Drosophila melanogaster: one gene and its partners. The protein of the gene in region 3 binds, or shares a complex with, the protein of the main gene of each other region. Each region holds a gene or a part of one and is shown on either strand. Other genes may lie near its edges.

Region 1 (7,458 bases), about 11 Mb from region 3:
AGTTATTCGATGGCTCCAGGTCCATGTTCTGGCCGGCGCTGGTAGACGGGGATGTGGTGGAGTCAGCCTGAGAGCTCGACCGTTTGGTCGAACTGCTCGCGAAACGTCCGGAGCTGGAAGCGCCCTGTGACGAGCCCGAGGGCCGGCTATCCGCACCCTTGTCCTCGTCGTCATCGTCGTCGTCCTCCTCCTGGATCAGTTTTCGTGCCAGTTTGACGGCCTCAAACTCGCGATAGTGGGCCTTACGGCGTCGCTCGAATTCGCGCCGCCGTTCTGCAAGCAAATATGTTTGAGCAATTGTTGGAATCTGAGATGTTCATGGTACTTACGTCGCTCCTCTTCGCTAAGGGGCTGGTCATCACCGGAGGAACCATCGTCCTCGATGCTCTCTGTCGACGGCTGTGTGTTAGCCGCTATGCGGAGTCTGCAAATTAGTATGTGTTTTTAGTAATTGTAAGTGCAATAATATGTAAACTACAAAATGACTGGCACGGCTTTAAAATAAGTCTTCAAATTTCAAAAAAAACTTTTTCTTTTCAAACAAATTATTGATTATGAATTTAGCTAGTTATATTCTTAAGAAATCTGAGGCAGTCATATTGCTCAATAATGTTGATATATTTGATTATCATTTTGCAAATCGTATAATTATCAACGATTGTTTAATCTCTGAATCTATAAGTCACATGTAAACAAACAAATGTGAACGGCGCATTTTCTGGAAATCAGTTTTGTTTGAAACTTGATACTCTGTGCTCTTGCCAAACCATTTAGCAAGTAAACAATAGGAAAGCTCCACATACTTCTCCACTAGCAACTCCGTGTCCAGCTCGTCCCTGTTCTCGTCGAAGCCCTCCGTGTAGTTGTACGGCGTTTTGGGCTCATCGATTTTCATGTGTCCGTAGTCCTTGTCGGCCGGATGGAAGGTCTGCATCACGTTCAGCTCATCGAACTTGGCACTTTTGCGAAAACTTTTTAAAAGGATGAAAAAGAAACCAATTAATAAGGGCTATTAACTGGGGTCATTCGATGACCTCACCTGGCTCCCGACTTGTCGAAGCTACGCGAAGTCTTTAGTATACCCTTGCAGGGTAGCTGTGGGCTGGGATTGTTCTGCATCCTGGCTATCTGTGTTACCTGTAACAATGGGCAAAGACCAGAGTGTGCTTTAGTTGCGAACAATGCACGCGGATAATTACGTCAGGCGGTTGGGAGTCATTGATGATTTCGTAGATTTTATGGTTGTTGTTTCTGTTGCTGCTGCCACTGTTGCTGCTGGACAATCGTGAATCACGGCGGCAGTAGCCGAACAGGCACTGAAATCGCGATGTTCGCCAGATTATAATGGCACAGGTCGCGGCGAAACCTCGTGCCCTTGGAGGGGTTGCCATTGCCGCCCACTGGGTGGCCACTACGGCCAGCAATGCCCCACCAACACCCCGCTGGACATCCGACGCATTGTTGTCGTCCGCCTCCGCCTGCACCACCGCCTCCATTCCGAATCCCACTTACTTGTGTGACTTTCGCCTGTTAACTGCAATTGCAACTGCGTTTCCGGAGGGCAATTTACGCCACAATCTTCAAGTTGGCAGCCAGCTGGGTTTTGGGCGAGGGCCACGATCTCATCGATGTCGCCAGACGGGCGGTTTTGATCTTAATTTGGAAAACGTTAGATTTGGCTCTTTACGCTTTAATGGTCACTGTGTGGATATTCTCTTCTAATTTGTATTGCAAAGCAAATGGCAAATCCGGTAAAATATTCTAACAAATTCTACTAGAGCTGGCAACACAGCGATGGCACCTTCGATTACATTTAATCGATACTTGCGTATCGTGACCCAAGCCGACACAAAAACATAACATGCTTTAAATAAATAGCTCAGACTCGAACCAATTTTAAAAATAGTTTTCAAAACTTCGTTTGAGAAATTCATTTTTGAGAGGAAAGAACATGCATTCAAATTTATTTTTGAATATCCTTCGGAAAGATATTTCAACGAATTTGAGTTAATTGGAGTTCACAAAATTAAATAAAGAAAACCCTGTCCATTAAAAATCAACGTTTTATATCGTACACTTTACTTGCTATTATCAAGGTCATTAAATTAAATACTTAGAAGGCTAGAAATTAGTAGGTGTTGTAGAAAAAATGCTGCATGTATCAGTCTCTCAGTTGAAGCGCTGGAAGTTCTGCTGCTGATTGAACATCATCTGTTGCTGCTGCTGCTGCTGTTGTTGCTGCTGCTGCTGTTGCTGCTGCTGCTGGTGGTGAAAATCTTGCTGGTTACCAGCTCCGGACAATCGAACTCTCTTTGCATTCGGCTCAGCGTTCATTTGCTGCTGCTGCTGCTGCTGTTGTTGTTGCTGCTGCTGTTGCTGCTGCTGTTGCTGCTGTTGTTGCTGCTGCTGTTGCTGCTGTCGCTTATTATCCGACTTATCTTCCTGGTCGTCGTCGGTGAGGAATTCACGCTTGGGATACGGTATGGGGCAGCCGGCGAACACGTCCTGCGTGGGCTGCGGCTCCTCCTGGAAGTACTGATCCTGCATGGCCTGTTCGGAGGTGATGCGCTTGTTGGGATCCATTAGCAGCAGCTTCTGCAGCAGGTGAAAGGCCTTGCTGTCTGGCTTTATTTTGTGCCTTTCCATGTATTTGGCCAGCGAGCAGGTGGAGTATGTGGAGCGTTTAAAGTCCTTTGTCAGCGTATGATGTTCCGGCATCTTCTTGATATCCTCCCAGTCCTTGTCCTGCGGAAAGCCCATCACATTGAAGATGCGGTCTAGCTGATCGTGATGGTACGGATTACTGGTCTTTATGTCCTCCTGGCGGCAATGGAAGATGGGCTCCGAAGTGAGTAGTTCGGCGAAAATACAGCCAATAGCCCAGATGTCGATAGCCTTGGTGTAGTGACGAGCGCCAAGCAGCAGTTCCGGAGCGCGATACCAAAAGGTAACCACCACGGGATCCAGATCTGCCAGCGGTTTCAATGGGGCATTGAAGAGCCGCGCGAAACCCATGTCGGCGATTTTTACGCGGCCCCTCTCGTTGCCATCGCCCATCACCAGGATGTTGGCCGGCTTCAGGTCACGATGTAGCACCCAATTACTGTGCAGATAGTGAATCCCATCCAGAATCTGATATAGCAGACTTTTAACCATACCGCGGGGAACCACAACCTGCTTTTTGGTGGCCTTAGCAGCCCGATGGAACTTAATGATGTGCCACAGGTCGTGCTCCGCATAGTCGATCAACAGGAACACCTTGCGGTCGTTGTGCGACAGAAACACCCGGATGAGGGTAATTACGTTCTGATGCTTCAGTTCGCGCAGCAATGCGATCTCGCGGCAGGCGGACATGGACAATCCGGTGCCGTCGATCTGCTTCAAGGCATATTCTTTGCCATCGCTAAAGAACATGAATACTATAATTATTTATATTGTTTGAAGAGCACCCGATGACCAGTTCACCTTGTCTCCTTCCATTTCGCCTTGTAGACGTGGCCGTATGTTCCGCGTCCCACCTTACAGCCCTCGTAGTTGAATAGGTCCTCCACTTTCGTACGCTCTATCTGCGTTTTCATCTTGAAATCGTAGTCCATTTTTACAAAAGTTTGCAAATTCCACAATTGTTTGTAAATGAAGATGCCGCCAATCAGCTGTCTCCCGATAACGATAACACAGCCTTAACCAGGGATGGAAAATGGGAACAGTGCTCGCCATACCTAGCTTTTTTTATAGCTAGCCTTTTAAAACAGAAAACATTTTTTTATAATTTTGTTTTTTTTAATTTTTTGTTTACTGTTTAAAAAATTCTATTGTATCCACAAACAAGCAAAGCCAGAAAAACTTTCTGTATATTTCATTCAACCTCGTAAAAAAAAAACTTGTTTCTAAAGAAAGAAAGAAAATAGAAATATAATCCCCCTAAATATTTTTGAATTCTGAACCAAATCAAATACATATATATTGGATGTTATATAGAAAAATAGGTAATCCAATAGTACTTGACAAGGTGCTTGTATAATCCTATCACAATAAAATATGAAAGCTCTATCAATAATAAACTCAAAAGAAAACGAAATCAAAATTTATCCATTGGCGATACGCTTTATTTTTCCCTTGGAAAATATCTATGTTTTTATTTTCGATTCTTTGTACCAACAACTTATCAGCTAGGCATGGTAAAAGTAAACTATAATTGTGTCCTTAAAATGCAAGTGAAATTATATGTATATGAACCACGTTGGAAACTCCAAACAATTTAAATTCATAGCAACATCTCGTCGTGTTTCTTTCTCCGTTTCGTATCTCTATGTACATTATGCAGATATTAGAATTAAGAAATGCACAAATTATTGGATTGGAATGCATAAACAAAAGGCAATATGATTGAACGCGGCGAAGGAAGACACTTTTCAATGCGATTGATGAACACTGAACTAAATATGGCAAAAATTAGATTATTTAACATTCTAGTTCTAGATGTAAATTACATGTGTAATTAATATGGAAGAGCTTTGGAAACAAATCGGTGGAAGTAAGTCGAAGCTAACCAAATCGTGTTTGTGTAACAATTAACTTGTTTTTCGTTTTAAGTTTAATATGAAATTAAATGCATTTAATAAATATAGGTGTGCGTGCGTATGTGTTTGTATATGCAAAATGGAAGTAAATTTGTTCTTAACAATGCTTTTTGTTTGTATTCTAGAATTTGCCGAATACATATCGTGTGTTGTTTAACATTAGCTGTATGACAGTTATATAAAGTAAATATACATGTAAATGTATGTTTTTTTCATGCTTTTCGCAGTATTTTTCTCGCGTTCAGATTGCGTTAGAATTATTTGCTTTTCGCGTGTGTCGCCTCTGGGCAAAACGCCTAGTTTAGTTGATTTTTTAGAAATTTTTGCTACGCCTAAATTAACTGGTATAATGAAGTTAATCATACACATGTACATACATACTGTGGGATATATATATACTCGTGTATCTGCTATTTACATCTTTTCATTTTCATTTCGCTACTCATCATCCCGCCGATACTTAACTTAGGCTAGGCTTTAAAAAATCTTAGCAGTTTCTGAGTTTTTAGTAGTTTAGGCTTATAAAGTTATCAGTTTTCAGTGGTTCTCTGCCCTCTTTGCGCTCACACAAGTATAGAAATGCTCTTTCCATATTGGGTATTTTGTTTTCGTGTAAAAATAATGTTAGCACATACAAAAAAATAAATAGGCTTATAAATATTTAGATTTCGTTTCCGTTCCTCTTGTTTTCTCCTCGTGTTGTTGTAGCTGGTGTAGGCGGTACCGTAAAAATCTGGTGTATAAAAACTGTTAATTAAAAAAACTTAGTCTAGACCTTTACAACGTTAAACTCGTAAAAATGATACAAAAAAAAACAAGAGCCTAGAAATTAGCACAATTAATCGTTTTGTACAGCAGCATCCTCTGGTTGCGTAGGAGCGGTAGGGGGTTGTGTTTGCCACATCGATGCGTATTCCTTTACCTGGTCGTGATAATGGCCCGCGGCAAAGCGAATACGCACAGCCTTGAACGCTAATAAATCGGTGGAGCTGGCTGCGATGACGATGTGGTGCTGGGCGGTGCGGCCACCACACTTGATGTGGTCGATGATGGACTGGAGGAGGATCCATTGCCGCAGTTATTGTTGTTCAAATTGTTGTTGTGGCGCTGCAGTTGATGGCTGCGCAGGGGCTGGAACTGCGACTGCTGTTGCTGGAGCTGCTGATGGTGCTGCTGTTGCTGCTGATGGAACGGCAATCTCTGCTGCTGATACTGCATGTTGTGCAGACAGTAGGCGTTCATGTTGCTCGTAGCTGGCTGATAAGGATACGCCCGAACGTTCTGCATTTGCGGCAGCACTGGCTGCGGCTGGAACTGCTGAAGTTGCTGCTGCTGCTGCTGTTGCTGTTGCTGCTGATGTTGCTGCTGCTGGTGATGCTGCTGATTCAACTGGCCGGCGGCTCGCATCATATGCCAATAGTTATCATCGCCAATGGGTGCCTGTCTGCTGCCGTATTTCAGTTGCCGCGTAATGCCCTGCTTGTAGTCCCGATGATCTCTATCGATGGCATAGGCCTTCTCTCTCAGCTTCTCAATCGTTCGCTTGAACTCAGCGAAGGCCTGTGGTGAATGCTTCTGCAGATCGGTGGCCAGCGGCACCAGAGGATTGTGCTGTTGGTGTTGCGTCTGCGACAGAGACTGGTGATAGGTGAGCGGATCTAGCAGTGACTCCAGCACACTCATGTTAGACATGATCAGCGTGTGGATGCGCTGCAGATCGAGCGCTGGATCCAGCGCCGTTACTAAATCCATCTGGAAGTAGTCCATCGTCTTGTCCAACACCTTCTTACAGCCCGGTGAATTCTCATCCGACCGGCCGCAGCAGCTGTAGAATCCACTTACAAAGGCCGAGGGATGGAAGTACTGCATCCGGATGGAGTTCATCAGACATATCTTGTGCAGCAGGTCGAACCACTCGCGCTCCTCCACGCAGTTCGTTGTCTGCACAATCAGCGAGCGATCGTTGTGCACAATCTGTGGGAGAAGAGGCGAAAGTAAATCTTAGTCTCATCTTTGTGCAATTAACATAAATTCTGTGCGCGGCGCAATTGCAAAACAATCGCACCCAAGTGAAATCGCTGGCTGAGACAATTCCCACATCTTGGCTGCGTTAAAAAATAAGAAAACGTAACGCCAAGAAATCGCACCCACGTTGACGATTCTCTTCTGCGTCGGCTGCATTGGTTTCTAGGTTTTGAAATTTCCCTTTTTTGCCTTACTACCTTCAAATGGCAATAACAATAGCGTACGCAAAGCGGAGCTCCGCCAGTTCATCTGCATAATAATGCTAATTATTTTTAATTGCCGCAACTTGTCATTTGCCACACAAAACTCTGTGAGTGATTAGTGAAAGTTTCGCGGGCAACTGACTGGAGGTTCGGTTTTCACTGTCGCCGAGGATGGGCCTGCCTGCTGCCGCCATCGATTAGCAGCCACTGCTCTACGCCCACACAGAGTCACATCGTTCAGTCATGAGCTTGCCGCCGGAGGCAGTGATGATGTTTTTTTTTTAGAACGAAATGAAACCTAATTATAGATAGACTAAAAAGAAAGAACTATGCGGCTATAGGATTTATTTGCTTTCTAAAGAAGTTTAACGCTTGGAAAGTTAGAGTACTAACTATAACTCCTACTATTCTTTCTGACATGTAAGCTCCATCTAATGCTTTGCAAGTTCGCAACCTAACCATCTAGCATGTAACACCAGCTAAATTACCATCACTGCCCGGAGGTGTGTGGGCTTTGGCTGCCTATTTATAGATGTGGCGTGGATCGCACGTTTCCGGCACACCACTGCTCTCGTGTGCATTATTCGTTGCAACACATGCAAATCACAGCCGAACCAATTGAAATCGAAGCACATCGAATGAATGCTCAC
Region 2 (7,277 bases), on a different chromosome or scaffold from region 3:
TGAAACTTAAGCAGCTCAAACTCGTAGGGATGCAAATAGGATTGGACATTGCCGGCATCATCGTATTCGGGCAGCAGGGCCAGCGGTTTAAGAGAATTAGGTTTCTCCTTGAGTCTTGGAACAAACGGATTCTGGGCACTGTTATCCACCGGCTCCCTAAATTGCGTCTGCGGCCGAACGATGTTCTTGGCGGTGAAGAGACGAGCCGAAACCATGCTGCGTTGGGGTGTTCCTGTCGTTCTGTTCCAGCTGCCTGCCTTTGGAGTCCCTTGGGTTTGTGGGGAAGCTACTGCGGGCTCTATGGATGTGGAGCTGCTCATCACGTCCACCTGGGCCTCTACGACCTGTTGTGTATTTCTTCGCAGACCACCTTTAATGTCTAGATTAGTCGTAATGCGCTCGAACAGTACGTCGTTGCACTCCTGCACCATCTCAAACTGCTCTTCCGGTTGGCGTCTGTTTAAAGAATAAAGATCTATTGTTATTTACAGATACAGGTACCAACTTTGATTTCAATGGCTGTGCTGTATTTTCAACATTTCGAATAATGTCATGGTTAGAAGCTTACTTTTTGATGTCGCCCTTGATGTCCTTGGAGTGCAGCACGTTCCCGATGAGCGCCACCACCCGTTGGGTCAGGTCTTCCATAACACGTGCGTAGCCTGGATAGCTTAGGTAAAGGGCGCGGGCTGTTCCTTGTGGGAAAGCATTAGCGGCTTTTGTGGCGGCGATTGCATTCTTGAACCCTTTCTGGAATGTCAGAGCAGAACACGTAGGGATTGGATTGAAATATACTTATGTACGCTGGCTGAATTGCTACCCACGTTTGTGAATGCCTCAACATCTTCTGAAGCGGATTTCTTTGGCGGCTGGTCTGCTTGGGCCGATTCCTCTTTGGCCTCCTGGTGAACTCTTTTCGGGGTTCGCGGCATGTCTGTATAGTGTTTCCTTGTCGAATGTCTTGTGTTATTTTCGTACAAATTTTTTGTCGTTTTACAGATTGTGGAAAATGTGCGTGTTTTCTCTTCTTCTTTTTTGAGAATAACAACAGCTTGAATTTGGAGTTTGTCAACACTACCGGCGGCGAAATTTGATCACTATATAGCACTAAAACGGTGCTGACCGCAATCGAATTAAATCGATATGAAGGTGTATTTTACAAATGTTAGCCAAATTTGGAATGGTGATATTTCGTTATGTTAAACCGTAAACAGAACCTGCTTTGATGAACAATACTTTACAAATTCTTTTTAAAAGCAAAATGTTATTATTATATTGAACTAAATATATATTCCTTTCAATATAAATTAAACTGAATAAATATTTTCTTTGTTAAATATTTGGTCTTTTCTTTTATTTTTTCAAGAGGGCGCTAAATTGTTCAAGTGAAACCCTGAACAAAATTTTCAGCCAGCTGATTGCCAGTGTGTACACCCCTCCGGCGCCGGCGAAAAGCGAGGAGCTTGACCGAGAAGCATCAACTCCATCCAGAAGAAGTGGAGTTACGTGCTAAAAAAAAAGTAATTATAAAGCCTAAGTTTAGTCCAATTAGGAGGTAAAACACGCACAAGATGCTGGACCTATACAGACGCACGGTGGCGCGGTTTCCTCTGGGCAGTGTCAGCTATATGTTCGCCTACGGATCCGGCGTCAAACAGCAGGAAGGCTATGGAAAAGTCGGCAATGGAAACAACCTGCGTCCTCCGCCGGGAACCGTTGTGGATCTGGTCTTTTGCGTTCGTGATGCTAGGGGCTTCCATGCGGAGAACCTGCACCGTCATCCGGACCACTATTCCGCCCTTAGGCACCTGGGACCGAACTTTGTGGCCAAGTATCAGGAGCGTTTGGGTGCGGGTGTCTATTGCAACACGTTGGTGCCTCTGCCAGATGTGGGCATTACCATAAAGTACGGCGTGGTGTCGCAGGAGGAGCTGCTGGAGGATCTGCTTGACTGGCGGCATCTTTACTTGGCAGGAAGGCTGCACAAACCAGTGACGAATCTGGTCAATCCTTCTGATAATCCTCCCCTCAAGGCTGCGCTGGAGAGGAATCTTGTATCCGCGCTGCAAGTGGCTCTGCTACTTTTACCAGAGAAGTTCACTGCCTACGGACTTTTCCACACCATCGCCGGACTGAGTTACAAGGGCGATTTCCGTATGATTTTCGGGGAAAACAAACAGAAAGTGCACAACATAGTTAGTCCGCAAATCAATGACTTCTTCGCCCTATACCAACCCTCCCTGGGACAACTTTCCGACTATGTGGCGGTAAACATGAAGGGCCAGGAACCAGGGAGCCGGAAACCAGCCATAATCTTCGAGCAGGACAAATCCTCATCGGCTACATGCCAACACCTGCGACAGTTGCCCCGAGAGCTTCAGAAGCGATTGCAGCGAAATGCCGCCTGTCGTGGCGACTACACCCAGGTGGTGAATCACCTATCCATGGCCTCCCAGCTTCCGGAGGTGCTGCAGGCATCCGTCAACGACATTGTGTGGCGCAGCAGTGTCACGCAATCGATCAAAAATATTCCCAGTGCTGGCATTCTCAAGTCATTGGCGTATAGCTATCGCAAGGCTCAAAAGACATTCGCTGTTTAGGTTTATTTTTCGGGTTAATCCCCTGGCTGCCAATCATTCTACCGACTAAGTTGTCCCATCCAGCTGCATTTTGTTAAATACTTTTAAGCTTTAAAGTTGTTAACTGCAATATAATGTTTAGCCCAATCCAAAGACCTGAGTTTTCTTGGGGATTCTCTCTTTTCACATCCAATGGACCTCTTTATAACCTCAGGAATATCTTGGTTTACTTATTATTTCATTAATTGTATTTGCAGATCATGTCCAGCGACGACAATAGTAGTGATAGCAATTCGTCCAGCGATGAAAGGCAAAGGAAACGGAAGCTTAAGAAGCACAGCAAAGATGTGGACAAGTCCAAAAAGAAGAAGTCGAAAAAGCACAAGAAAGAAAAGCGTCGCCACAAGGAGAAGAAACGCAGCAAGCATGAGGAGGAGCCACCTGTGCCTTACACGCAACCTCCACATTTAATTAATGCATCTCCGCCAGATGTGGCTACAAACAACGAAGATTCCTTTGGTCCCGCTTTACCGCCGCATTTAAGGAAGACCCAGCAGCCGGAACTCCCTGAGCAAAGCCAACCAGCCCCACAACCGCAGGCCATGATAGGACCCGTCCTGCCCAGCAATTTGACCCGGGAAAAGTCTCCTACTAAGGAAGCGGAAGCTGAGGACGATGATGACCTAGCTGGCACCTTTGGTCCTCTGCCAAATGCCAGTCAAGTGGCTCTGGAGGAACGTGCTTTGGCACTTAAACTGGCAGCTCTGGAGGGCGGGGGATTGGGTACATCTACAGACCAAGATGTCCGCGAAGAGTGGATGCTTGAGCTGCCAGATGTGGGACTGAAGAGCGGCCTTGCCGCCCTGAGCAATATGAAGCGCACTTTCTATCAGGGAAAAGAGCGACCCGACTTTAGCGATCGATCATCCTGGACGAAGACCCCGCAGAGTGAAGCGGATGCTGCTGCATCGGGCCCAAAGTCGCTCAGTTCGAAGGAACTCGAGCAAATGGCACAGGTCAAGTACGAACAGCAGCGGGATGACGAGCAGGAGAGCATGGCCAAGAGGCACAAAAAGAAGCACAAGCGAGAGGAGTCCCTAGTGGAGCTACATCAAAAAAAGCTTAGGAAAGAGCAGAGAGAAAAGGTACGAGGAAAAATATTTCTTAAAAACATAATATGGATATAATATTGTTATAAATTTAAGGAAAAAGAACTGGCTGCATCGGGTTCCAAGCCAGAACGAAGACCTTTTAGTAGGGATGTGGACTTGAAACTTAACAAGATCGACAAGAATCAGACCAAGCAGATTGTAGACAAGGCCAAGATATTGAACACCAAGTTCTCCAGGGGTCAAGCTAAGTATCTGTAGGTTAAATGAACCATAAAAAATCCAGACGATCCGTACCGCATGTTAATCTTAAGCAATTATGTAATTTAATTTAGAAATAATTATTATAAAGGCAAAATAATTTGTAAATGACATTTTTGATTGCTTAGTCACCTAGCTTAAACTTTCGTTTAATTGGCATAAATACATTGGTAATATGAGTACAAACACACAATTGGGCAATACCAGCTAATGATGAATGATTATGAAGCTCTTCTAACGCTGAGGCGGTGGTTTCGGTTTCGGAATCTTGGACAGCAGCATCTGAATCTCGTCCTTTTCCTTCCAGTCCTTCCACAACTCGTACAGATTTACAATGGCGCGCACGATCTCCTGGACCTTGTCTAAATCAACATTCAATTCTGCGAACCACTGCTTCGTGGCGTCCTTTTGCAGGATGACGCAGGCGATTTGAAGGCAGGCTATAGCGATCTAGAAAAAAATAGGTTCTTCAAATGTGAGGAAGCTGTAGAAATTATCAGGATCACAAACCTGGTAAGGAGGATAGAGCAGGCAGACATCGGTGCGCAGGGAATCGTTTACGATACGCCAGCTCAGGGTGAGCAACTGGTCCTCCTGGCCCATGTCCTGAACCAGCTGCAGCAGCGGTCTGTACGGCTGGTAGACAATCAAGCAGCAATCCAGGTTCTCCAGCAGGTAAAACTCGCACTCCAGGATGTGATTGGTGCGGTAGGGAAACTCCTGAGCGTACGCATAGCTGAACTTTGTCTTAATGGCCGACTGGCAGATCGAGATCAGTCGTGAATTGGAAATGACACCGAACTCCTCCACCTTCGAGGCCAGCAAGATGCAAGTGGGCGCCAGCAGCAGAGGATCGATGTTCTTCAGGGAGTTCCTCGCATAGAATCTCTTGAAGTAAACCGTCGCCGTGGCGATGACCTGTTGCCTCAGCTTTAGCTGCTCGCCGAGCACCTGGATCACATTTGCGAAGAAAATAAACACCTTTTGGTATTCATCCTCGTTAAGGGCCAACAAATCGTGCTGACGCTCCCGGAGCAGATCGGGTTTGTCCAAAATCCACTGCTGCGAGTGCGAACTCTGCCAAAAATTGCCCGCCATTTCGTAACTAGTAGGCCTAGCTGATTAGGTCGGCCAATATTTTCGTGTTAGCTATCCAAATTAGGTGTTTATTTCAATAGCAAGCCGGAAAACCAGGAAAAACGAAAAAATTGTGTTGCCGTTTCAGCCAGTGTGTGCACACCAGGGCTATTTTCCACGAACAGCTGACTGGCCGCAGCCAACTTTGCGCAGCGCAGTACATTGGTGTGTGTGTGTGAATTTTTCATCAGCGCCGCGGCCACAGACGAAAAAGTCTTAAATATTTTTTAGTAATAGGCTATTGAACGAATTAATAAAACGATGGCGTTGCGAGTTCTTGGCGTGACGCAGAATATGCGCTCCTTCATGCGGGGCGTTGACATGATCAAAGTAAGTCCAGACAGCCATCCAATGATTACGCTTCCGAGGATTTAAATTACGTAATTGTAAATGATTGTGTTTTTGGTTGCAATTGTGGTTTATTCTTGTGAGAAAAGGGATAAACAACCTCTTGTTGGTCAGTTATTCAAGAGCCATCCAGTTTTTCAAACAAATATTTGGGAAAACTGTTTGGAAAACCCACTACAAGCACTTTGAGGTTATGTTCGTGTTTTACTTAACTCTGGGCTATAGTTTTCCCAATTTTCCCGAACTTACAGCGATACAAGTCGGCTGCCACCCTACAGAAGACTCTGCTGAACATACCCGCCACCCAGGTGACCAAGCTGGACAACGGTCTCCGCGTGGCTAGCGAGGATTCCGGTGCCTCTACCGCCACCGTGGGACTGTGGATCGATGCTGGGTCGCGCTCCGAGAACGAGAAGAACAACGGAGTGGCCCACTTCCTGGAGCACATGGCCTTCAAGGTTGGCTCACTAGCTTGATGCTTTAAATGCGTATAATATGCGTTTCTGCCACTTTTTAGGGTACCGCCAAGCGCTCGCAAACGGATTTGGAGCTGGAGGTTGAGAACCTGGGCGCCCACTTGAACGCCTACACTTCCAGGGAGCAGACCGTCTTCTACGCCAAGTGTTTGTCCAAGGATGTGCCCAAAGCCGTCGAGATCCTGGCCGACATCATCCAGAACTCCAAGCTGGGTGAGGCTGAGATCGCCCGCGAGCGTTCGGTGATTCTGCGCGAGATGCAGGAGGTGGAGAGCAACCTGCAGGAGGTGGTCTTCGATCACCTTCACGCCACCGCCTATCAGGGCACTCCTCTGGGCCAGACCATCCTGGGACCCACCAAGAACATTCAGTACGTATATTCAGCTCTTATAACAAATGCTCTGTCTCTAATTAAAATCTTCATTTATTTAGGTCCATTGGCAAGGCCGATCTGACCGACTACATCCAGACCCACTACAAGGCTTCGCGCATCGTTCTGGCCGCTGCTGGCGGCGTCAAGCACGATGATCTGGTCAAGCTTGCCTGCAGCAGCTTGGGTGGCCTGGAGGCCAGTGTGCTGCCCGCGGAGGTGACTCCCTGCCGCTTCACCGGCTCCGAGGTGCGTGTGCGCGACGATTCCCTGCCCCTGGCCCATGTCGCCATCGCCGTCGAAGGCTGCGGCTGGACCGACCAGGACAACATCCCCCTGATGGTGGCCAACACCTTGGTGGGTGCTTGGGATCGTTCCCAAGGCGGTGGCGCCAACAACGCCTCCAACCTGGCCCGTGCCAGCGCTGAGGACAGTAAGTGTACATCAGTAAGACGACCAGGATATGGAGATTATTAACTATTATTGCCCTACAGACCTTTGCCACAGCTTCCAATCGTTCAACACATGCTACAAGGACACCGGACTCTGGGGCATTTACTTCGTGTGCGACCCTCTGCAGTGCGAGGTAAGAAGAATTAATGATTCAACAGAAAACTCTCGAGAGAAAGCAAATTTTACGTAAACAAACCTCTTCCCCAGGATATGCTCTTCAACGTGCAGACCGAGTGGATGCGTCTGTGCACCATGGTTACCGAGGCTGAGGTCGAGCGCGCCAAGAACCTTCTGAAGACCAACATGCTGCTGCAGCTCGACGGCACCACACCCATCTGCGAGGACATTGGCCGCCAGATCCTGTGCTACAACCGCCGCATCCCGCTGCACGAGCTGGAGCAGCGCATCGATGCCGTGAGTGTGGGCAATGTGCGCGACGTCGCAATGAAGTACATCTACGATCGGTGCCCAGCCGTCGCTGCCGTGGGTCCCGTTGAGAACCTGCCCGACTACAACAGAATCCGCTCCTCCATGTACTGGTTGA
Region 3 (8,389 bases):
AACGGAGAAAACAGTTCCTGCGATGTACGGGAAACCGGCCCCATCACCGACGTGTTCGAGGCAGAGAGAGGTTACATCTTCGCATTCAACGTGAACAAACTGAAGGTATCCCTAACAAACGGCTCCGAGCTCTCAATAATGGGGTCAGCCATCATCAGATACATTAACGAAACAATACAGATTAACGGTATCGATTACGACGGCACGGTTGACACGTTCCCTGAACAGACGGATTTTGATCTTCCCCCCATGCGAAAAGTAACTAGGAATACCACTATTACGGTACTAAGCCTAGAAAAACTGCACCTCGAAGCCACCCAAACAATGGATAAAATCCTGGCCGTCCATCACAATACTATACAGCACACCTGGACACTCTACACTCTGCTCGGATTGGTAACGTTCCTAGCAGTCATCTTATGGCTGCACCGACGAACGAAACACATCGTCCACATCCACGAGGATCATCACGTACCAATCTACGCGTCATCCATACCTTCGCTATGGCCGTCACTTCGAACTGGGGGGGGAGGAGTTACCACCCCACCCCCTAAACCCCCACGCCTCTAAACAAATCATCGGACACTCAACCGGGAAGACGGCAACTGGAACACCGCATCCGGCCGAATGCTGACATTCCGGCCGAATGCTGACATTACACAAAAGTCGCACTGCAACATTGTCCCCAGCTAGCCAGCCACATGCCGAGTCGGCATGTTCATTATGCTTACAATTAAGAACCTATGTACTTATGTATAAGACGAAAACGGAGGACTCGAGTAGCCACTCTCTGACAATAAACTTCATACTGATTTTGAACTTCAAGAAAGTCAGTCGTATTCTTTATTGGAAATCTTCACACTACAACTATCTGCTGAAACTTAAAAACCTTCATACATTTACACATCATATCTTCACAAAAGGCTCCACCCTCGATCACGGACTTAACTCGCGTGCCTCTCAAGTTCAAATTGCTCTCTCGCGCCGTCTCGCTCTGTCGCCACGCTCTCCGTCTCGCTCAGAGAAAGTTTGGCGTTTGTTATTGTTTCGTTATTTCGTTGGCGTCGGCCCTCTCCCCCCACTTATCCAACTCTCTTGCTGCTCCAAACTCTGCAAGAGAGTTGTAAGCAGACACATGAACAGACACAGAGGAATAAAGAGAGCGGGGAAGTGGAGCAGAAGCACGTTGACTTGTATTGTACGCATTGTCGTGTCGTCGTCATCGCCTCCACTTCTTCCTCGACTATTTCATTCGGCTTTTCTGTTTCATTTTTTCGGCTTCTGCGTCCCCTCTCATTCTGCTATCTCCTCCTTTCGACGCGAGATTCATTAAAGAAATATGCCAAAACGGAGAGACAATAGCACAATCACTAACTAGCTGGGCCGACAAACTAGTCGTCAGTCGTAGTCCCCGAGTCTTCAGTTTTCAGTCGCGGGTCTTGGGTTTTCTGTTTCGACTTTGGGTCTCGGGGAAAAGGAGAACCTGTTATGGGCCACAAAGTCACCGAGCCGCAGTCACAAAGCTACCCACAAAGTCACAGAGCAACAATCGCTGTGGGCTGCCACAAAGTCACCCGTTTTTACTGCTACAGTAAACACCCGGATTCTCCTACTTTCAGTTACTACAGGTTTATAGAAATAACAAGTATCGTGAAATTTACTATGTTGGAATGAACGTGTCCGAAAACTGAAAGCTACACGCCTCATACTAAACATTCTATTTAGATACTCCAAGAGCTAAGTGTCTTGACAATCCACATGTTTAAAATTTCAATGAGCATTTATAAAATGTATATTTATAATTGTGATAATTAAATGCAATACACAAATTTAAACGTTTTAAAAAATGGTCAGTGAATTTAACACTCTACCAAAAATTCAGTACCGTTTTGATTGCTTTAAAAACAACAAAATTACAATTTAGTGATTAAACTTTGGCTATTTAATGATTTGTTGGATATCAACATACCAAAAGATAAGTAAATTACTTATTAAACACTGAAACATCACAACATTCAAAATTTTTGTGCGTACATTGCCCCAATTTTATGTATAAATATTAAAGAAGAGAAGAGATTGCCAATTGACCCTAAGAATGAAATATGACATCATAATGTAAAACATTAGAAATGATAAATAGTTCAATATCTGGTTTTAACATATTTTCGTGTGGCTGCATTCATGTTAAGTTTCTGTAGGATATTTGCGAAGCTTCTGCAGCGATAACGACAAACAGCTGTGTCTGACCGGCAGCGCCTACATTTCGGCTACCAATCGATAAGAGTGTGAGATTACGAGCGAGAGAGGGGTGGGGAAGAGGATGATCCCATGATCGGTAATGTAAATTGTTGTTTCTGAGTGGGTGACACACCCCCGCAGGCCAATGAGCCCCCTCGAGAACAACCCCTCCTGAATCATCAACACTGACCTAGATACTGCAGCAAAAAAAAATAAAGCCCATTGCGAAAAATAAGAAACAATTGCCCAGAAAATCAACACAGTACTCACCAAGGCATAAAAGTTTGTGTGGCAATCCTCCAAACTTGCGCCGTTTGTCTGATGATTTTGATGCGTCATAGTTCTTGGCTTGTTTTCTTCGCACAGCAGCAGCACCTCATTTTCTCAACGTTGTTTGCTTATAGTGTATTGCTATTATTGTTATTTATCCGATGTGTTGTTATTTGTTGTTGATTTTGATACTCTGTAGTATTTTGCACATTTGCTTGCTGCTTTTTCTGCTCTTTTTATTTTGGATTTTTATTTTTTATTATTGATTCTGCTGCACGCACACAGCAATACTCTCTCACACACACACACAACGGTATAGGCACGGACACACACGCGAGAGAGACGACACACACGGATACACAAATAATGAAGAGCTCTCTTTCGTCTCGTTTCTTTACTTTCGATATTTTGTGGTTGTTGTTGTGGTGTTAGATTTTGTTTGTAATTTGCTATTTGATGTTTGGTTTTGATTTTTATTATGTGTATTTTGTATTTATCTGCTCTCTGGGGAGAGTATGTTAGCGTAAACGTTGCTTTGGCAATGAAACACACATACTGTAGAATTAAGCATGTTGCTTTTGTTGTTGTTGGTTAAAGCTGGAATATAAGAAGAATTAGACTTTGAGCACACATTTTTCCCGCTTGGCATATGTTTTCTTTTCCGAAAGAGATGCATTTATTAGTTAATTTTCTTATTGTTTTAACTTGCTTATTTGTTGCTACACTCACTCAATCACACACACACATCTAGATCACAATTACAAGGGTTCGTTCATTCGCTGTTTCATTCATGCAAAAAGAGAGCAAGCAGAGAGAGAGAGCGACTCAGAAATTGACTTTTTTCAGCCACAGGCAGCGAGTATACACCGCACACACACATTTACTTCTAGAAACACACAAACGACGATGAAAGTCGTTGGATTTTCGTTAATCGTTGATGTAGACAAAATAAAATAGGTAAGAGTTTTCGGCTGTATTCGAATTCAAACCCAACCAATTTATGTTTAATCAAAAAGAACTACACATTTATAGAGCGCAAATCAAGATGAGTAATCAAGGAAAACACCAACACATGCACTCGCACGTACTGTGAACACACAAAACTCGAAGCTGCGACTATTTTTTGGTTTCGAAAAACAACAGTAGCTCAAAATATTTATTAATATTTAATCTATTACTCAGGCTTGAATTTCTTGCGTTGTATTTAGTGTTTTTTGCGCACGAATGACGAGTCAGAAATTTTCGAACCGACTGCGAACGCTGGTCGCCACACACAATGGAAATTTTGCTCGCCTAGCTTTGAATCGGCCATATATATGGTATATAGCCAGTATGTAGTGTAGTTGTACCAGCGGCGAGTGGCGAGAGAGCAGAAGAGGGCGAGTAGCGGCCGAATTCGAATAGCGGCTTTTGCTCTTTTTGCTGAGCAGAGAGTGAGAGAGAGGAGAGAGGGAGAAAACAAGTTTTACCAGCTAACTGCATATGCATTGGTGTGCGTGTGCGTTAGTGGCGTCGGCGTCTGTTTATCTCGCTCTCGCTCGCTCTTTGTGCATCTCTTGGGGATGCAACCATTTTGAGCGAGAGGCAGACAGAGAGAGACCGAGCACATAGATCGATTAAATTAAGGGAAAAATCTCAAACTAAAACGAAACTCGAAGGAAATCCGAAATTCCATAAATTATGCACTATACAACACTACATAGCACACACACGCACGCAAATATGTAGAGTGCGAAACGTGATACATAGACGGGCAGCAGCATTCCTCTCACACACACACGCATCAACCATACACCTACATGGCAGAGCAACCACTTTCGTAGTTTTCCTTTCGCACCGTTTTCTCTGTTTCTGGGCAGTAATGTGTGTGTACACATCAAATTTTCTGATTTTTACTTTCGGCCACTCGAAATAGCCGGAAAAAAATGCCATCGATAACTAAAATCGCACAGTTGTTGCATATTCCTCTTTCTTACACTCTCCTCCTTTTCCACCTCTTTCTTTCAATCACACACACACTACATAGGCACACCGCCGGGGCAGCGACCGCTAGAGCAATTAAAAACCATTAAACATTTCCGCTGCCAATGCTTAAACACGTCTTGAAAATCATTTAATGATTTTGCGCCACAATTATTTGTCAAACAACGGCACTTGGGCATTATTATTTATATTTAATTTGCTGCACCTCTTGCACGCATACACGCATACAGCACACACGCACACCCTCTCACTTCTCGGGCAATCGCTTTTGCATTTGCATTTTTGATCACTTTTCTACGTTTTAATCGCCGTTTTTGATGTTCTTTCCGACTACCGATGTAAACTTGTCTTGAATCTTTACATTTTGTGCCACTTTATCTATCGCATTCGCATACGGAAAAATCTGCGATCGATTTTTATAACAATTCGCAACAAATATGAGGGAAAACTTGCCGTCGGCGGCAGAGCCAGTGTTGCCAGCTAGCACAGACAGAAAACTACTAAAGAGGTGGCACAAAAGCACTAATAAATACCACAGAACACTAAGTCTTCACAATGGGAAGTTCAAAATATACAACAAATTAATACTTCTTAATTTAGAATGGTATATTTTTTAAATTATTTGTTCTATGTCTTCAAAGGTATTACACATCTTATATATAAATAAATAAAGGATCTCTTAAATTTAATTTAATAACGGTTATAGAAACCTTTTAATGAAATGGTTTAAGTGGTGCGAATGCGTAAAGTGATTGGAATGAAGTGTAAAATAAAAGATATTTTTATTCTGTTTGAATCAATTCCGTCAACTGATTGTTTGATCCTTCTTAAAACAAATTTTTTTAAAGGTGAATACAAACTATAATAAATTGTACAATAGAAGAATTTGTAATCTATTAAAATGGAAACAAATAAGTGTTTTGTCACCACTAGCATCCAATTGCATCGCTAACACCAGCCACTTGTGTTCCCATCCCTAAGAGTGACCGTACTCCCCATGGCCAAAAAGTGTGCACCGAAGCGGCGCTGCCGTGCGAAAACCTGTTCCCGCTCAAGACCGCCGTTACACACCCCCTGCGCCGCCTCCTCGGAATTCCATGACACTGCGTGGGGCAATAAAAACAAACAGAACGCTTGGCGGCCACCTGAGAGCGGAGCAGCGACCAACTGTAAAAGTGGGCCGCCCGGGAAGAAGAAGAAGCAGCGTAGGCAGCAGGTGACGCCGACAGCGACGTCGGCAGAGACGCAAGCAGCGACGGACCTCGAAGATTTCACTTTTCGACGAACGATTTAACTGAGCGGAGCTAAGAAACGCGATTTTCATACAAGCAATTGAAAAAAATAGTCGTGTTGTAGGCGAAAATAACTAGAAAATGGCCATGTACCGCGCCAGTGGGTTAAGGATTATGCAACAGATGCGACGCAGGATTCCCGTCGAACTGCAGCCACTCCAAGTGGCCAAAGCTGCGCCTGCGCTGCAAACTTTCACTTCTCAGCGCTGGACTTCGACGACGACGACCAGTGGAAAGCATGCCAGTCCACAGGTTACGACCCCGCCCCCGAGACACGACTGGAATAGGGCGGTCAGCGAGGCGGAGCGCATCGTCGGCTATCCCACATCCTTCCTCAGTCTGCGCTGGCTGCTCAGCGACGAGATCGCCAATGTGGCGCTGCACCTGCGCAAACTGGTGGGCAGCGCCCATCCGCTGATGAAGACGGCCAAGTGAGTGGTGCTGAAGGGCTTATAGGGCGTTGAAATTTATGTGAATCTTCCGCTTCAGGCACCTGCTCTACAATGGCAAGAACACGATGCAAGCCTGGGGATTGATAGTGCTCCTGGTGTCCAAGGCCGCAGGACATGCACCCAGTGTTCCAGACGTGGAGCAGGACAAGAGTGCCGGAGTGCTGCACTCCCAAAGGGCTTTGGCCGAGGTCACCGAGATGATACGGATATCTCATCTGGTGCACAATGTAAGTTTTTGATCAAATGCATTCGAAAGTTACTCGTAAACTGAAAGTGGTTTGTATGCAAATGAGTTTAACTTTCCTCAAATTTAGTTGACGAAACTCAAGAAACGAACATCAATATGTCATTGGTCGAGCTGATGCCTCATAGATTATAAAAATATTTACACTTGGTCCCATTTTAGAGCGTGGTTAATCTGCAATCGAGCACGCAGGCTGGGCAGGATGTGGACACCTACGACGACATGTCGTTTGGCAACAAGATCGGCCTGCTGACCGGCGACTATCTTCTGGGCCATTCCAGTGCGGAGCTGGCTAATCTGCGCAACCAGGAGGTGGTGGAGCTGATCTCGTCGGCGGTGCGAGATTTTTCCGAGTCGGAATTCATTGGAGAGCGTGATGAACAGAACAACCCGCTGCCTTATAAGCCAGGAACCTTCCAGCGACCATCTCTCAGCGTTGGAGTGGATTTCAACGAGCACGACGTGATGACGCCAATGCCGATTGCCCAGGTTCTCGGCAATCCGGAGGAGGAATGGGAGTGCCGTAATATCCTTAATGCGGGTAGCCTGCTGGGCAAATCCTGCCAAGCTTCGCTAAAGCTGGCCGGACAGAGTGAGGAACTGCAGCGACATGCTTACCGCTTTGGCAAACATTTGGCGCTCGCTTGGCAGGCTTGCTTGGATGCCGAACCTTTTCAGTGCCCCCAACTGCCGCTAGATGTTACTTTCAGTCTGGTTAGTGCTCCAGTCCTATTCCACTTGGAGCACGACCCTGGCATGTATTCTCAATTGGAGGCTGGCAAGCAGTCGGTCGATAACATCGACTACGACAAGATCCACAAGGCCATTCTGGCCGGGCCGGCTTTGGCCAAAACCAAGGAACTGCAGCGGAAGCACACAGCCGCTGCCCTGGCCGTTCTGCAACATTTCCCGGCGACGGACGCTCGACAGGCTCTGGAGAACATCATTCTGGCCATGCAGGATCTTTGATCCCGAGCAGCAGTTACTGATTTTTCACGGGTTCAGGGCTTAGGTTAGTTGTATTTATTCCGTTGGGTAATTTTTCAGTAAAGCAGACGTTGTTGACTAATCTTTAATGATTCATTTAAAGTAAAGTTTAAATGCTTTATTTTTCTGAACTTCAAGTAATACTTGGTGCAAGGTCACAAAAATATATTTTGTAAATCGTCTTGTATCGCAAAAGTTCATTTTTATTATAAGGGAAAATATAGTTCGTCATAAAAAAGGTTGTATGTTCATATTTACATAACATAGAATTGGAGGATTTGGAAACATTCGAGACTGTAAGATTTTTTTCGCAGCCTTGAAATACAAGGCAAGAGTCCCAATTTGCAGCCAATAATTTTCCAAAAAAAATATCGTCACAATCAATGTTATTAGTTTAATTCCGGTGATATCTCAACCTAACGTAACAAAGCCATAATTTAACTAAATTATTAAGGTACATCGAGGGGCCATTTGAATCTAAGAAGCGGAACGTCTTTATGTGTGATTTACGCATTTTAACGACTGATGATCTTCATCAGAACCAGTTGCTTGCAGCGATCGTACTCGAAATACTGGGGGAAATCCAGAGGCAGGTGCTCCATGATCCACGGCTTGTTCACCGTCTGCCGGATGAGGTACTCATACATGGGAGCCACCGAATCGCAATCCTCCAGTGTGAACACATAGCGCTTCTCCAGTGCCATGTATATCGTTTTGGGTCTCCCAGTTTGGCGACCTCGATCCAGGAGGTTATCCAAGACGCAGATGAAGGCATCGGTTAGCGTATCACAGTAGATGACATCGGCAGCTAGGATTATATCGCTATTGTCTATGGCCTCCAGCAGATCCTGCGAGTGATCCTCTTTTGAGGCGAGAAAATCAAACTCCAGAACTGATATCGTAGCGCGGAGGAGTTTTGAATT
Region 4 (8,532 bases), 1.2 Mb from region 3:
GACTCCCAGGGACCACCAGTCGCAGGCGGGTCCGTAGCCAGTCTGCAGAAATACTTCGGGTGCAATATAGTCCGGCGTTCCCACGGTGCTGTAGGCGAGGGCGCGTCGATTTCGCTTCCACGACTCGGCACGTCGCTTGGAGTCCATCGGACTGCAGGACAAGCTAGTTTATTTAATAAATACAAGCTTAGATTCTTTCACATCTTACCTGGCGCACGTGCCTATAAAATCGGATGGTTTCGCCTGCGACAAGTCCCGATAAAAGTCTGTTCGATGCGACTTCTTTAAGCCAGTGCACAGTCCGAAGTCGGAGAGCTAAAATAATAATAGAGTTTTTAGTGGGCTCATCTCAATTATCTGGATTCCACTTACCTTCAGATGCCCTCGCGCGTCCAGCAGCAAGTTATCGGGCTTGATATCCCTGTGTATGAAACCGAGTTTGTGAATAGAATCGATCGCCAATGCCGTCTCACTGATATAGAACTGTGTGCCCTCCTCGGATAGCGTGTCCTTCTTCATCAAAAGCGTCATCATATCACCACCAGGCAAGAACTCCATTATCAAATATAAATTGACGGGATCCTGTGGAAAGATATTTCAAAAACATTCTCACATTATTACTGAGTAAGAAAATACTTATATATGAATGCAATTGTATTTACATTCATTGTACAATAATTGTAATATGCAAAAATATCTTATTAAACAAATATTTAACGTCAGAGAAATGGCGATTCAGTGTAGGCTGGTTCGCCTGTGTCAAGAACTTTCACCGAGAAGAAGTTGACAAAAGAGAATCGAGAAAAAAACAACAAAGGCGGCCCACGCAGAGAATGAGAGAGGAAGCGAGAGAGCAAGAGAGACGTGACCATATGATTGGCAAAGGCGCTTTTGGCATTTGCCGTTGTATTGGTTTATTGATTTTTTTGTCCGTGTTTTAACACAATTCTTTTGTTATGTGCGCTGCCGCCCGCTCCTTCACCCCATCACCCTTTCTCCCACCCACCCTATATCATTGTTTTTGTTGTAGCTGGCGCTCGTCACTCACCTGGAAACTGTAGTACATCTTCACCACCCACTGATGATCGGCCTCGACCAGGACATCGCGCTCGGCTCGTACGTGTGCCACCTGCTCCTTTTCCAGCATGTCCGCTTTGCGCAGCACCTTCATGGCGTACACATGTCCCGTGTCCTTTTTCTGCACCAAACGCACTTCACCGAACGCGCCGCGTCCGATGACTTTGAGGGCCTCAAAGTCCTCCACACCGAGGCGCAATCGCTTCAGCCGGAGATACTCCGTCTCCTTCTGGGCATGCTGCAGACGCTTCTCCTGGCGCTGCGCCTCCGACAAGCTCTCGTCCTTCAGCTGAGCCTCCAGCTTTGCGAGGCGCTGCTTTCGCTCGCCATACTGCGTCACCAGGTTGCTGTAGTAGTTCTCCAACGTCACCTTGGCCTTGGTGGCCTTGTCCAGTGTGTGGTCGCTGAATCTGATCGAGGCACCGTCCGCGTCCTGCGTTCTGCTGCTCATCATCTAAGCTGGGGTTTTTGTCCTGGTCACCTCGGTCCTATTTGGGGCTTGTGTGTGTGCTCCCTGCGATGTCGGTGCGTGTGCGTGTGTGTGGTGAGGAGTTATGCACTTGCCAATGCACACACACTGCTTTCTTCGCCCGTTTCTTGCCTTTTTCCTCGGTAATTTGTTGAAATTCCTCCCTCTGCTGCTTCTTCTTCAAGAGCCATTCGCATTTTGCATCCCCAACAAAGCAAAGTTGGCTGCGATCCAGTGGGGCTATCGATAGCTAATCGATTGATTTTAGAACTTTAGTGCTTTTGGCTCGCAGATAGTCATGACAATTAAGCTTTCACCGACAATTGTATAAAATTTATGTACTGAAATTACGTTACTTATTACTTACATTGATTTTTTTAATTAAAATTGATTAAATTTAAATTTATTTAAATTTACTTTAAGGTCATGTTATTATTTACTGTAATTCTATTAAGAAACAAAGCTTAAACAATAGTTAAAATATCTTAGCTTTAACCTTTTAGCTTGAATCTTGCCAAAAGACTCTTACTTCGAAAATTGTCATCACTGCCACCAGTCCAATTAGTAAATAAATAGAACTTACCGACTTGGGATAAATTTTTCCATGTCAGGCGTACATAAACCAGTTGCCTTTGCTAATCTGGCCATTTGGCGCCTGTGACGGTCCCGCGCAATGAGCATAGTCAGCTAATAATGGCCCGCATCACCAGTATTCTGGACTTGGACCCCAGTTCTCTGTTGTTCATCTTCAAGCTTCTAAGCTTGGAGGACCAGTTGCACTTGGCGCGATGCTGTCGCATTTTTAGGGATGCCTTTCTTCGCCTGCATCGCCATGATTTCCAGGATGTTGTTGACAAGGATATGAGTATAAGGACTCTGGAGGATTGGCGCACCTTTCTGTGGCTCTGTGGCAGTCGCATCGGTACACTGGAATCCCACTTTGACGATGATCACCCGCTGCAGCTGCTCCCGATGATCAGCAGACACTGCTACCGACTGAAGTCCATCTCTATATACAATGCAACAGTGGCACGGGCGCAACCGTATTTATTGAGGATGAGCTCCCTGGAAAAGGTGCACGTGCGTAACTACAAGAGCACCAGCAAGGATCTAATAAAAGCCATTGGGATACACCTTCCGCGGGTCAACAGTCTGAGCCTGGAGAGCTTTGAACGCAAGGAGTGTAAGAACTATTTAATGTTCACCTTATCACAACAATATTATTTAATTGCTTCTCCCTTCACAGTACAAGAAGTACGTCAGTTTAGCGAGATGCTGGAACTTGGCTTGTACGACGACGTGACCGCCTCGGAATTCGCAACAATTGTGAAACCCATGAGGAAGCTGCGATGCCTTCAGCTGCGCAACGCCAAACGCTTTCTGACTACCAGCAATCTCAGGATGCTGGCCACCAACTGCCGCCACCTGGAGAAGCTGACGTTCAATGACTGCGACGCCGATCTGTTGGTCCTGCCGCAGTTTGTAAACCTCAAGTACCTGCAATTATACTGCTCGGAGGATATGAAAACGCGCCTGTTCAAGGCACTGGCCAAAAGCCAGTGCTCCATTCAGTTGGAATACCTCATCCTGCACCGCAAACGCTGGATTGACGAGGAGCAGGCGCAGTACATCAGTGCTTTGAAGTGTCTCCGGTGGCTGGTCTGCAAGCCTCGTGACGATCTGTGTGTTCACCACTTGGCGAAGTTGAGTCGATTAGAGTGCCTTTCCATACAGTCCGCTCGTGAGATTGGAGAAACGCAGCTCTCCCTTTTGGTGGCCAACAATGAGCGCCTTCGGTATCTGAACATTTGCTATTGCCTGGGCATCACAGACGCCTTCGTCTTGGACACGCTGGCCAGCTTATCGAAACGCTCAGCTCATCAAACCCTAGAGCTATTTGCCGCGGCCACTGACATTAGGCATGACATCATGGAACGGGTGAGTAATATTTAAAGCACATACATATATTCGAAAGTCCTTATGTTAATGTGACACTTTGTGCTTCGTTTGCAGCTACCGCACGAATTTCCCCTGAAAATGCTCTGTTTGAACTTCGAGTGCAGCGATGGAATGACAAGCGGCGGACACTTTTATGCCGATGAGCCGGAATTCGATCGCCAAGCCTTGTGAGGCCTTATTCGTTTAACAACGAATGTTTCTTCAATCATTACCAAAAATACAACGTAAATTATTTAATATTTATACGCAGCTTTATTCGTGATCTTACCACTTTGAGTGGTATTTCTTTTGTTAGTGCACAACGATGTAACTTTTTCACTGCATAATTAAAAAATTACGTCATATTTAAAGTACTGTATCAGGTTGATTGGGGATGTGTGGCTGAACATGATAAGATTACATTTGTAATATTTACAACCATTTAACACTTAGCTTAAATTCGATTGCATCCGCTAGATTGTTCGCGGGATGTTATCGAACTATCGATGGCTCATCGCATTTTTTCGCCCCACCACTGATATTTTGATTTGTTGTTGGGTTGGCGAACAGAGGAAATCGGGAATTCGCTAAGAAAATCTGTTTATAAAACGCAACTAGAGGGCCGCGAAGATGCTGTCCATGCTGCAGGAGAAGCGTCCGCTGAAGCGCACCCGTCTGGGTCCGCCGGACATCTATCCGCAGGACGCGAAGCAGCGAGAGGACGAGCTGACGCCCACGAATGTGAAGCACGGATTCACGACGACGCCACCGCTGTCCGATGAATTCGGTACGGCCCACAACTCGAATGTGAACGCCAGCAAAGTGAGCGCATTCTTTAGCGGCGTCCTGGCCAAGAAGGAGGAGCTGATGACCCTGCCGGACACGGGGCGCAAGAAGCAGCAGATCAACTGCAAGGACAACTTCTGGCCCGTTTCGCCGCGTCGCAAGTGTACGGTGGACGCCTGGTTTAAGGACCTCGCCGGTAACAAACCCCTACTTAGCCTAGCCAAACGGGCTCCATCGTTCAACAAGAAGGAGGAGATCTTCATTACTCTGTGCGAGAACCAGGTGAACATGCAACGCGCCACCTGGTTCATCAAGCTGAGCGCCGCCTATACGCTTAGCTTCACCGAGTCTAAGAACAAAAAGCGATCCATTTACGACCCGGCTGCCGAGTGGACCGGCAACATGATCAAGTTCATGAAAGAGCTGCTTCCCAAGCTCCAAGAGTATTATCAGCAGAGTGAGTACAGTCCTTAAGTTCTATAATCTATCAACTCCCTTATTCAACTTCTTGATTTTAGACCACGACAAGTCCTCTTCGAATGGCACCACTTCCGGAAGCCTGACCGCCGCCGGTAATGGTCCTGCCAGCAATGGCTCCACTGGCACCAGCTCTATTAACTCCGTCACCGGTAGCAGTGCTTCCACGAACGTAATCCCGGTACCCAGCATGGCCAGTCCACTGCCACCGATTCATAGCCCAGCTAATGGCCAACAGGCAGCTCCTGGCGGAGGAGTGAATGCCGGCAGTGTCATGCCGACGACGGGAAGCCTTGGCGGAGTAGTCGGTGGGCCGGGGTCTTCTGTGGTAGGAGGCGCAGCGGGTGCAGGAGCTGCAGTTCCACCAGGCTCTACAATTTCTGGAATTGGAAGCCAGTTCGAAGATAGTCGCAATGCGCTTAAGTATTGGAAATACTGCCACCAATTGAGCAAGTACATGTACGAGGAATCACTTTTGGACCGACAGGAATTTCTAAACTGGATCCTCGACCTTTTGGACAAGATGCGTACGCAGGCAAGCTTCGACGAACCGTTGAAGAAATTGGTGCTCAGCTTTGCCCTTCAGTACATGCACGACTTCGTCCAGTCGGAGCGTCTTTGCAGAAAGATGGCCTACATAGTGTCCAAAAAACTGGCCCAGTTGCTGAACACTGTCGTAGAACAGCAGACCATCAAAGAGTTGGACGAGCCGAAGTTGCAACAAGATCCCTATGAGCTGGCGCTTCAGGAACAAATGAGTTGTCCCCATCATCGGGATATAGTGCTGTATTTAAGCACGATCCTACAGATCATCACAATCGAGTGCCCCACAGCTCTGGTCTGGAGTGGGATAGCAGCTCACCGAGCACCCTCCTCGTTGTTGGGTAGTCCGCTGGACCATTTGCCTTTGGCGCCCTCAGTCTTGCCGATGCCCACACGCTGTCCGCGAACCAATCACGAGATTCGACGTCAATTGCGGGCCGCCGAGTCGGACATCGTATTGCGCACTCAGCATGCAGAGCAGCGCTGGTTTGCAGCCAAGTGGCTGAGTGCCGGCAAGAATCAATACACCAGTGTGCTGGCTACACTGGACCACTTGGACACGCACTGCTTCGATCGCATGGAACACAATAATAGTATCGATACCCTATACGCACAAATATTTCCCAGCCCAACTGTCAGTCGCAGGCGGGAGGAGGATCAGGTGGAACCTCGTCCGCCTTATGAACCCAAACAAGACAAGGACACGGTACGCATTCTGTGCGAGTGGGCTGTGTCGGGGCAGCGTTGGGGAGAACACAGAGCCATGGTGGTGGCCATTCTACTTGACAAGCGCCAGATCGACGTGACAAGCACGCCGGCGGATCAACAATCCAGTGATAAGGATGACAAGGACTCGCTAGCTTCGGGCGCCGGCTTAATTGATGGCCTGCCTGTGTTTCAGCACGTGTTAATGCACTTCCTTGACCACGATGCTCCCGTCCTCGATGAGCACGTGAGCAGTCCACAGCAGCGCACGGAATTTACCAACCTTGTTCAGCTGTTCAGTGCATTGATTCGCCACGATGTCTTTTCGCACAACGCGTACATGCACACTCTAATTTCACGAGGAGATCTGCTCCTGGAGTCGGTGCTGGTGATCAAATCAGGAACAACGGCCACGAAAACATCGCCGCCACCTCCAGCTCCACCACCAACGACGACGCACGGTTTCGATGATGACGGATTCGGCGGGGGCCTGGACTTCAAACACAACGAATTTGATGATTCCAATGTGGACGACGATTTGGACAAACTGGTGCAAAATATTAAGGAGAAAGGACAACAGCACGAAGCTCCAGACAGTCCCAAGATTGGTCCTCCAGGCGATGGAGAAACCAATCCTGGCGGTAGCATATCGCGGCATTACGTGTACACCAAGCACTTCCCCATCCCCCAGGATGATCCCAGCATGAGCAGCTACAGCAGTGAAAGCAACCAGCGATACATCCTGCTCTTCGGAGTCGGCAAAGAGAGGGACGAGAAGAAGCATGCTGTCAAGAAGATGTCTAAGGAAATTGGAAAGCTTTTCACAAAAAAGTTTAGCATAGATGTGGCGGCGGCCGGTCATGTGAAGAAGCACTCGCGCAACGAGTTTAACTTCGAAGCTACCACGTCCAAGTGCCAGCAGATGGCTTATTTCGACCAGCATGTGGTCACAGCCCAATGTGCGGCCAATGTCCTGGAGCAGCTGAACGGATTCGCGTTAGGGAACAACAACTACCTGCCGGTACAGGAGCACGTGGCGTTCCTCTTTGATCTGATGGAGCTGGCTCTTAATATCTACAGTCTTTTGGAACTGTGCGATAGTCTGTTGAAGGAGTTGCCTGAGGTGGAGCACCAGTTGCAGCTAAAGAAGTCAAACCTAGTGCGCAGTTACACCACTTCACTTGCCCTCTACATCGTCAGCATCCTGCGGCGCTACCACAGCTGCCTTCTTCTTTCACCGGAGCAGACGCTGTCTGTTTTTGAGGGAGTCTGTCGTACCATTCGGCACGTATCGAATCCGAGTGAGTGCACTTCGGCGGAGCGCTGCATTATTGCCTACCTGAGCGACCTACACGAGTCGTGTGTTTTGCTCCAGGGAAAGGAACAATCCACGGAGTACTACCAGCAGCTGCAGTGCATCAAGCGGTTCAAGGACATATTCAACACTCCAGAGCAGCTTGAGTGAGTTTAGATCGCAAGTTCTTCCCCAATAATATAATATATAATATTAACAAATATTACCATTTTTTATTTAGCCTACCACCTCAGGGTTACAACCCACTGTTGTTGCAGGAGCTTTTCATGGCCCCTCGACGCGGTGGTAAACTGGATCCTCACTGGCTGGGAACCCTGCACGAGTCGCCGGCCAATGTATACAGTTTCGTGTCTAACGCATTAATAGCCGTCTGCCGAGAGACGGACAACGAGCGGCTGAACGATGTGGCCCTCGCATGTGCCGAACTGACCGCCAGCTGCAACGTCTTGTCTGAGGAGTGGATATACGCACTGCAGAGTCTGTGCAGCGGCAGTAAGAGTCCGCGTTATCCGCACCTGGGCGGACAGGTCGACATTGGACAACTTAAGACTCACAACGCCCTGGCCGTGTTCGTATGCATTCTGGTGGCCAGACATTGCTTCTCACTAGCCGACTTTGTAAGTAAGTTCGCCCTGCCTACATTGGCCCGATCGGTAAGCGCTGGTGGAGCCGAACTGAGTGTAGATGCAGAGGCAGGTGCTCGTCTTACATGTCACTTGGTGCTGAAGCTGTTTAAGACCTTGGAGATTCCTCAACCTGGCATGTACTCGGTAAGCACTTCCCCGAATCCACTGCACGCTGTGGGAAACGACTTTAGCATTCGGCTGAGCTGCGATCGTCATCTTCTGGTGGGTGCCCATAAGACCATTCCCATTGCCGCAGTGCTTGCCGTGCTCAAGGCCATTCTCATTGTTGTGGACAATGCGGCGCTTAAAACACCATTGGCTTCCGGCAGCGGCACCTCCTCTGGCGGATTGGGCGGAGCTTTTGGAAGCGGCAAGCGTAGTGGCTTCAATACACCGGTCCATCCGGGAAGCACACCCAAGAGCAACGAACAACGACCGGCCGATCTCAGCCAGATCCTGGGCACCAGCGATTTACAATTGGGCAGCAGTTTGACAAGCGAACCCGAAGCCCTGCAACAGCCATCGGTCGGAGGAATGGAGCAGATCTCGCTGTTGGAGTTCGCCCAGGCGGTGCTCAAGCAGATCTGCGCCCAGGA

What was found.
Region 1: skd (region 3) and Cdk8 share a complex: the UniProt entries of both Drosophila melanogaster proteins name them as parts of the cdk8 module of the Mediator complex.
Region 2: skd (region 3) and CycC share a complex: the UniProt entries of both Drosophila melanogaster proteins name them as parts of the cdk8 module of the Mediator complex.
Region 4: skd (region 3) and kto share a complex: the UniProt entries of both Drosophila melanogaster proteins name them as parts of the cdk8 module of the Mediator complex.

Annotation. Positions count from the first base shown.
Region 1 is NT_037436.4:9,835,010-9,842,467, forward strand, and holds Cdk8 (Cyclin-dependent kinase 8), read right to left. Parts: upstream 3,662-7,458; 5' UTR 3,597-3,661; coding exon 3,466-3,596; intron 3,404-3,465; coding exon 2,170-3,403; 3' UTR 2,071-2,169; downstream 1-2,070. Other genes in the region: I-2 (Inhibitor-2), read right to left, coding at 1-273, 330-424, 804-971, 1,040-1,137, 1,200-1,496; RasGAP1 (Ras GTPase activating protein 1), read right to left, coding at 5,553-6,554. UniProt on the Drosophila melanogaster protein: Component of the Mediator complex, a coactivator involved in regulated gene transcription of nearly all RNA polymerase II-dependent genes.
Region 2 is NT_033777.3:14,885,011-14,892,287, forward strand, and holds CycC (cyclin C), read right to left. Parts: upstream 5,196-7,277; 5' UTR 5,048-5,195; coding exon 4,460-5,047; intron 4,400-4,459; coding exon 4,184-4,399; 3' UTR 3,994-4,183; downstream 1-3,993. Other genes in the region: Rrp6, read right to left, coding at 1-456, 569-750, 825-932; CG33331 (uncharacterized protein), read left to right, coding at 1,572-2,600; CG33332 (uncharacterized protein), read left to right, coding at 2,840-3,724, 3,785-3,949; UQCR-C1 (Ubiquinol-cytochrome c reductase core protein 1), read left to right, coding at 5,348-5,416, 5,686-5,892, 5,952-6,280, 6,343-6,713, 6,775-6,866, 6,941-7,277. UniProt on the Drosophila melanogaster protein: Component of the Mediator complex, a coactivator involved in regulated gene transcription of nearly all RNA polymerase II-dependent genes.
Region 3 is NT_037436.4:21,022,444-21,030,832, forward strand, and holds the start of skd (skuld), read right to left. Parts: upstream 4,992-8,389; 5' UTR 4,697-4,991; exon of another isoform or gene 4,485-4,696; intron 3,762-4,484; exon of another isoform or gene 3,687-3,761; intron 3,106-3,686; 5' UTR 2,578-3,105; coding exon 2,509-2,577; intron 1-2,508. Other genes in the region: Pdss2 (decaprenyl diphosphate synthase subunit 2), read left to right, coding at 5,865-6,214, 6,273-6,462, 6,642-7,448; CG10584 (uncharacterized protein), read right to left, coding at 7,982-8,389. UniProt on the Drosophila melanogaster protein: Component of the Mediator complex, a coactivator involved in the regulated transcription of nearly all RNA polymerase II-dependent genes.
Region 4 is NT_037436.4:19,832,562-19,841,093, forward strand, and holds the start of kto (kohtalo), read left to right. Parts: upstream 1-4,052; 5' UTR 4,053-4,114; coding exon 4,115-4,727; intron 4,728-4,788; coding exon 4,789-7,456; intron 7,457-7,530; coding exon 7,531-8,532. Other genes in the region: trc (tricornered), read right to left, coding at 1-163, 209-315, 373-582, 1,049-1,531; CG32221 (uncharacterized protein), read left to right, coding at 2,240-2,729, 2,793-3,484, 3,560-3,676. UniProt on the Drosophila melanogaster protein: Component of the Mediator complex, a coactivator involved in regulated gene transcription of nearly all RNA polymerase II-dependent genes.